2 linked regions of the Danio rerio genome follow. The protein of the gene in region 2 purifies or fractionates together with the protein of the main gene of each other region. This does not show direct contact. Links are inferred from orthologs where the notes say so. Each region holds a gene or a part of one and is shown on either strand. Other genes may lie near its edges.

Region 1 (3,757 bases), on a different chromosome or scaffold from region 2:
GCACAAACCACTCTTATGATCCTGACCAGATGAAGGCTGTTTGGAAGGATACTGGTCGTTTTTCAAGTCACTGCTGTCATTCTGAGAAGCGGCCATGGGCTCAGGTGCTGGACTAGTGTTGTTGCTGGTTTCCTGCTTCAATGGGGAAGAGTCCGCAATCGAGCTCTGGTTACTGTTGTCATCTGTGGGTAAAAAAATAGAAACAAAAAAAGTTTTAATATCTGAAAATGTCCATGCATTTGTAACTGTTAATAGGTGGTTACAGGTCGGAATAGCATAGCAAATAACCAGTTCACAGAGTAAAACTGTTTCATCAACTCCCTCTATTGGTTAAGAGGAAAAAATGCACATTCAAAGCTGCCATCATTAATAATTATAATAATGATTTTTTTCTAATAAAAAGCAGGTAACACTTCAAAATCTTAGTCATGCATATTAGACCAACTGTTTGAGGATCACAAAGAACACAATTTGAAATTCTCACATAAATTGGTTTAAAGACTACTGCATGTAATACTAATTTGAAAAAGGTAAAACATTGAGATGTGTTTAGGTGTACAGTTTTACCATGCATATCCATCATTCCAGGAGAGGAGCTGTTCTCAGGGGTCGTGACCTCAGAGCCATACTTGTCATCTTTGCCTTTCTTCTTATTTTTGTTCTTCTGTGTGACATAAATACATATTGCAATCAAGGCATATGAAGAAGATAGTAAAATATGTTGTGTCTGTTTTAAATACGACTCATTTTAGTTAACTTATTTTATTTAAAATAAATATGAATTTAATCTCTGTTAAAAACAATAATACTGGTCTGTGTTATGCTACAACTGAAATATGTTTCCCCCTCAACGAATACCACTACTAATTTACCTTTACTAAATTAAAAAAATAATAACTATAGAATTACTCATTAAAAAGTCATTTGCGTCATATTTTACCTTGACTATTTTGTTCCAACTTTCAAATGAATTTGTTGGTTGTGGTCCATAATGTTACAATAATTATTAGGTTATCAAAACTGCAACAGCTGTGCGTTATTGTAAATAAATGTCACTTACATCATCTGACTTGGGCTCCGTCACTGGTACCCACTTGTAGATTCGCAGTGACGTGTCACCAACAGTCACCCATTTCTTCTCCCTGGAGATGCATGTTATTGTTAGATATCAAAGACAAAGGAAACGCCAGACAAATGAGGACAAACCACTAAATCACTTACATTTAGAGGCATAAGAAATCTCAGATGAGCCATTATTTAGGCAAGATGCATTTGCAGAATATGCAACTGAACAAATTATCGATATCAATAGTAAATAATTATTATCATAAAAATAAATACTAATAATAATGCAGTTCACTAGCTCACAGATGTGTACAATTTTAATCGCACGTTGCCACAAAAACACGATTGTTTCTCATTTAACATGTATACTTTTATAGAATAAATATTGTTTTGGTAATTATTGTTAGTCCAACAAATAATTTGTCATGGTTTGAAAACCCTTAATTCAACTTAAACTTAAGTTTAAACGAAATCCCCAGCAGTTGCTTGAAGTGTAAAAAAGTGTATGTGAAACTGCGGCTCAGGGCTGAGTTTAAAACCCCGCGCGTGGATCAAACTCTCCTCACGCGCCGCCGCTCAAAGCGCGACTCTCTCACTTTCAACACGAGATGAACGAGTCAAACGCCCGTTCACCGGCACTTTCTGTTCGGTACGGACGGTTCACTCTAGTTTCCTCATGTCAGCCCGTTCGGTTACTATTCAGCCGGCATTACAGGCTCTAACAGCAAAGCCTTCATGTGACTGCAACGAAATGGCTTCTAGGTTCAACCCACATAAAAATTTAATGGAAGAAAAAACGCGATCTACATTTTCCCAAACTATGTTTTCACACAGCCGACAAAGGAGCAGCCGCGCGCAGAATCGCAGAAACAGTACATCTGAGTGAAATTGGAGTGGAATAAACGCTCTCTTCGCTTTCATTTCATTGTTTCTCGGTGTCTCTCCTCCCCCACAGGCTGTCTGTGCTGTTCGTTAACGGATAGACGCTCTCTCTTACCATTTCCGCACTTTTTCAATTGCAGCCATAACCCGCTTGATGTCATCTTTCGCCCTGCTCCGCGTCTCCGCTCGAACCGACCTGCCCGACATTACTGCTGTTGGTAAAATATCTTTTTGCTCGCTGCCTGTTTAGACACAATGCGAATGCACACAGCACAGGAGAGAGGCGGGGTTTGTGCGCCTGCGCTGAAGCCAAATGCCCTCGAAGCATGAGAGACACGGTCAATGCGGGTACGCGTTTCGCTCCTTTGTTGGCGAACAGAGCAAAGAAAACGATATTTTATCAGATTGCTGAGCTAGACGAGCGAATCGAAACCAGCACCACGACATCAACACACGTTTTATAAATGTATCTGGAAAAAATGGAGACTTCAATCGACAGCATGTTGACAAACGACATGTTTTATTTTCGTATGATTTTATCTCTATGCGAAAGAATTGAACGCAAACATATAACACAACAGCTCGCTAACCACACAATAACAGTCCATCTGTTTTAAAATACATTACTTATTGACAACGCATGAACATAAGCAGGGAAATGTAAATATATTATGACTCCTGTCCGTGGTGTTCTTGATGGAGCTCCTGGGTGGCGACAGAAAAGCCCAATATATCTGAGGCAAATGCGTCCATGGTGATTTCAGCTGGAAGCACACTTTCCAACAGAGACCCTGAAAGGAGAAAGAGTAACGTTTGTTGAGATCAAAAGATTGCTACATTTTGAAAATCATAATGTATTTTAGCCAAATAGTCTTTAACATTGCAGAGGTTATATATGTGAGTGCATTATTAGCAAAGACGCTAATTTGCACATTCACTTGCCTATGATTTAACCCAAAACATAACCAACAATGTAAAGGCAAAACATGTAAGATGAACGTGTAAATGAACATGTTCATTTATTAATTTATTCAATTTTCTTCAGCTTTGTCACTTTATTAATCTGAGGTCGCCACAGCGGAATGAACCATCAACTTATCCAGCATATTTTTAACACAGCGGATCCCTTCTAGCTGCAACCCAGTACTGGGAAACACCCATACAAACTCAGAAACACTCACACAAAAGACAATTAAGCTTACCCAATTCACCTATAGCGCATGTCTTTGGACTGTGGGGGAAACCCACGCCCACACGGGGAGACCATGCAAACTTCAGACAGAAATGCCGACTGACCCAGTTGGCACTCAAACCAGTGACCTTCTTGCTGTGAGGTGAAAGTGCTAACCACTGAGCCACCGTGTCGCCTTTTCATAGTGTTATATATTTTTTATTATTTTCTGGTAATGCTTTCAAAAATGTTTAAGTCCAAAGAAATAAGCAGTTTTAGTGACAAGGACCATGTCCTGTGTTCCCATGCTAATTATGTCAAATACCCTTGACCACCCTTGGTTTGGTTTTATAGAAAACATGTAGTGGGAAACACCAAAGATGTTTAACATGTTTTGTGTTTTGTTAGAGCTCACAAAGCAGCATTATAACAGAACCTTAAAATGCATTTAGCATGATAAAACATGTTGGTGCTTCCCACACAGGGCCGGAGCAAGCTGAACTGCCGCTCTAGGCAGAGGACAATCACGCCGCCCTCAACCCCAATGAGAAAACGAAAGTGACCGGTTATGAAAATGAAGTGAGGTGTCGCGGACCTCTTATGTGGCACACTATGCGCAGATATAACTGAGGACCTGCG
Region 2 (3,494 bases):
CGAGACGATTTTTTTATGCACATTTTGTCAGTAAAGCCGGTTCTAGTAAAAACGCGTTTAGATCAGGGGGGCCCAAACTTTTTCTTTTGAAGGGCAAAAATAAAAACAAACTTAAGGGCTGTGGGCTGGAGGTTAATATTGCAAAATGTATTAAAGCTGATTTATAATTCGGCCTGCCTTGCGCATAGCTGTGCATAAATACTTCTTTGCGTTGTTTCTGTTGCTCTGCAGTAACACCTCCGAAACGCTAGCAGGCAGTAGGTTTTTATGTTCCTCTGTGTTGAGTTTCTTCGCTGGTGTTTTTGTTTTCTTTCTGAATGCTACTTTAATGTACAAGTAGCTCAAACTAACTCATTTTGAGGCGGGAATCAGCAGACGTGCAGCAACTTTAATCATAAGGTAAACACAAAACAACAATTTCCATCCGGAGCGCCTTCATGGAACTCCACACTTGTAAACAATCGCTCCATCAGGCTCGCGCGGCTCTCACCTCCACCCACACTCGTCAGCACTACCAAGCCGAACAATCCCAGAGCTTGCGTTATGCATCATTGCGATGTGTAGTTTCATTTTTTCAGCGTCGACGCCGGCCACACAGAAGTATAAATCAGCCTTAAACCGAAAAGAAAATAAATGAATGTATGAATGTGGTGTGCAAATAAATTTTTTGGGGGGTAATAATTTTTTTGCCAAAGCTACATTTTTGTCGACTTCGGTGTCATGTCCTACAGAAGCAGATTTTCATTTAATAATAATAATAATATTAATAAATTATATATTTATATATATATTTATCTTAGTGACTAAACTTTAAGCAGTGACCTATTGTATATTTCATATATTTTCTGTATACTTAATGTAAAATGCAGATTATTATTATTATTTTTTGTCTTTCTTGTTTGTGTATTATTATATATGCGTTAAGTCTTTTTAATTGAAATTTGGGCAATTTCTATTGTTTTTAGCCTAATTTGCTCTGGTAAGTTCTGCTGACGAGCTGTAATTGTAAAAATGTTATTGGTTGAAGCATATCACATGGTGTGTATGTCCTTGGTTGCCTTGGCGTTTATAGCATTACTCTGCCCTTGCAGCCTAAGGTCATTCCCAATGCTATATGTGGCATATGTCAGAAGGGTAAGGAGGCCAACAAGCGAGGCAAACCAGAGGCTCTCATCCACTGCTCCCAGTGCCAAAACAGCGGTAAGTCAAAAGCAGCTCTTTCTGAAGCAGTCCTTGCTTTTCAGTTTAAATGGCACCTTCTGAAACAAGTAGTATAAAACACAAAAAACGAAATCGAAAATCATTTTAGTTTTAAAATACATGTTTTAATTCAAAACTCTAGGTTCTAGTTATTAGTAATTTGTATCTGCTATTATAAGTAGGACATAAAGTTGCGGTAACACTTTATAATAAGGTTCTGTTAATTAGTTTGACACAACCGTCCTGGATGTACTTTATCCTGCTTATTACACAAATACTTGACACGAAAACATAAATATTAGACACAAAACATCTGAGCCGTAATAGTTTATTCAATCTTTAATTAAATGCAAAGCAGACCGAAACAAAAACGGCTGATGGAGTATACACTAACCTGTGAGTAATTCAGACACAATATTGTGACAAACTGTCAACAATGCAAAGTTTGACCGAAACAAAACTAGCTGCATAAAGCATAGACTTACCTATGTATTATTAACGGTTAAAAGCCGAGGCATGATAGACAAGCAGATACATATGAACGTAGGTATAATTATTTGGATGTGACAGCCTGATCTCTGGCGTTTTGTCAGTTTAGTGAATTTGTACGAATTCAGTCTTCTGAAATTGTAAAATTTTTAAAAAGGAGGTGTGGCAACCTACTGCGCCCCTAAACCCAATCGTCACTCGTAAATTGATGAGCAAATTGTATGAATAAGATGGTACAAATTCATACGAATTGGCCACTAAATCAAAAAGTTACGAATTGCCGTGAGAACGTGTTGCATGTGAACGTATTCGCTGACCCTGAAGGTGATTCAAAATTTTCTGCGTTAAGCCATTGTTAACTAAGAATAACATACTGAATATTGTCACTGGCCAATCAGAATTGAGTATTCAAGACAGCTGTGTAATGAGTAAGGGATAAAGTACATCCAAGCGCAAAATGAAGGCCCGACAGGCTAATCAGCTGCCTGACGTTAAACGGAGCACTGTTGTATAAGACTGAAGGGCTTTAATCTGCGAAAATCATGCAACAGGATATAGTTTATCCCATTTATTTCATGGCGACATTTCACAATATGTACAAATTGGACAGAACTGTTTTGAAACATGAGTTGAATAATTCTTTAAATAAAAGCAAAGCTGACAGAAACGAAAACGGCTGAATGGAGCATACACTAACCTACGTATTATCTTGTCGCAAAATGGCGCCAGAGACAGACAAGCATATAAATATGGAGGTAAACGCATTCACTGACAGTCAAGATGATTTGAAGTACCTAGATGAGCCTGTGTTATTAGTTTAAGTGGTTGTTATCTGGGAATAGCATGCCTTGGGATGCAGCGACTGACTAATCAGAATTGAGTATTCCAAACTGCCGTGTAATAATGATCTACTAACATGAACAGTTTATTACAGTGGTAATTAATCTTTGTATTTTAAATTTTGGGTTTTAATAATGCATCAGTGAATGTTGAACTGTGATTAATAAATGCCATGCAAGTATTCTGCGTTCATGTTCGTAAATACGTTTAACGTTAACAAATAGAACCTTACTATGAAGTGTGATATTTTTTGTGTATGCTTTTTGAGTGTTTTAATCCGTTTTATACACTTGTGTTTCTGACTTAAACGGAATATTGAGTAGGGTGCGGGGCTTTCTTTTTGCGCATCATTCCCTCATAGAAAACTAATGGTGAGAGGGGCGTGGTTAAGAATACTGTGGCCGAACCATCAAACTGACATCATCAAACACAGTTCAAACACAAGCAAGTGCTCAGATGATTACCAATAAACTTTTTTCAATGGATTACCTTGCGTACGTTAATTGTTTATTTAAAAATAAAAATGTGCGTTAGCAAATTGTTTACATTTTGATTTACCTTTTGATTTCGAATATGTTTTAGATTTTTGAATACATTTTGATTTTACACGCATTTTAATATATACAGCACTCTGTTTTTAAAGCCTTTTCATCATCCTGTTGATAAAAAAAAAAAGTTCTCGTGTATCATTTCTTAAGTTTCTGCTTGCTGGAAAAGATACGTTTTTGTGTGAATGGCTAATGATGATGATGATGATGATGATGATGGTGATGGTGATGGTGATGGTGATGGTTATGATGGCCTTGTTTGTGCTCAGGTCACCCGTCCTGCTTGGACATGAGTGTGGATCTGGTGGCCAAGATCAAGATGTACCCGTGGCAGTGTATGGAGTGTAAGACGTGCACCGTGTGTCAGCAGCCCCATCATGAGGAGGAGATGATGTTCTGTGATAAGTGTGATCGAGG

Evidence for each region.
Region 1: the proteins of phf10 (region 2) and bcl7a purify together in Homo sapiens (affinity purification with mass spectrometry; 3 studies listed by BioGRID and IntAct, counting the BioPlex papers as one, with this or other methods). This does not show direct contact. The link is inferred for Danio rerio from reciprocal best matches to the Homo sapiens genes PHF10 and BCL7A.

The regions. Positions count from the first base shown.
Region 1 is NC_133180.1:42,613,546-42,617,302, reverse strand, and holds the start of bcl7a (B-cell CLL/lymphoma 7 protein family member A), read right to left. Parts: upstream 2,220-3,757; 5' UTR 2,155-2,219; coding exon 2,063-2,154; exon of another isoform or gene 1,224-2,062; coding exon of another isoform or gene 1,222-1,223; intron 1,143-1,221; coding exon 1,061-1,142; intron 665-1,060; coding exon 568-664; intron 183-567; coding exon 27-182; coding exon of another isoform or gene 9-26; intron 1-8. Other genes in the region: cfap251 (cilia- and flagella-associated protein 251), read right to left, coding at 2,617-2,738.
Region 2 is NC_133188.1:6,026,701-6,030,194, forward strand, and holds part of phf10 (PHD finger protein 10), read left to right. Parts: intron 1-1,091; coding exon 1,092-1,200; intron 1,201-3,346; coding exon 3,347-3,494. UniProt on the Homo sapiens protein: Involved in transcription activity regulation by chromatin remodeling. Belongs to the neural progenitors-specific chromatin remodeling complex (npBAF complex) and is required for the proliferation of neural progenitors.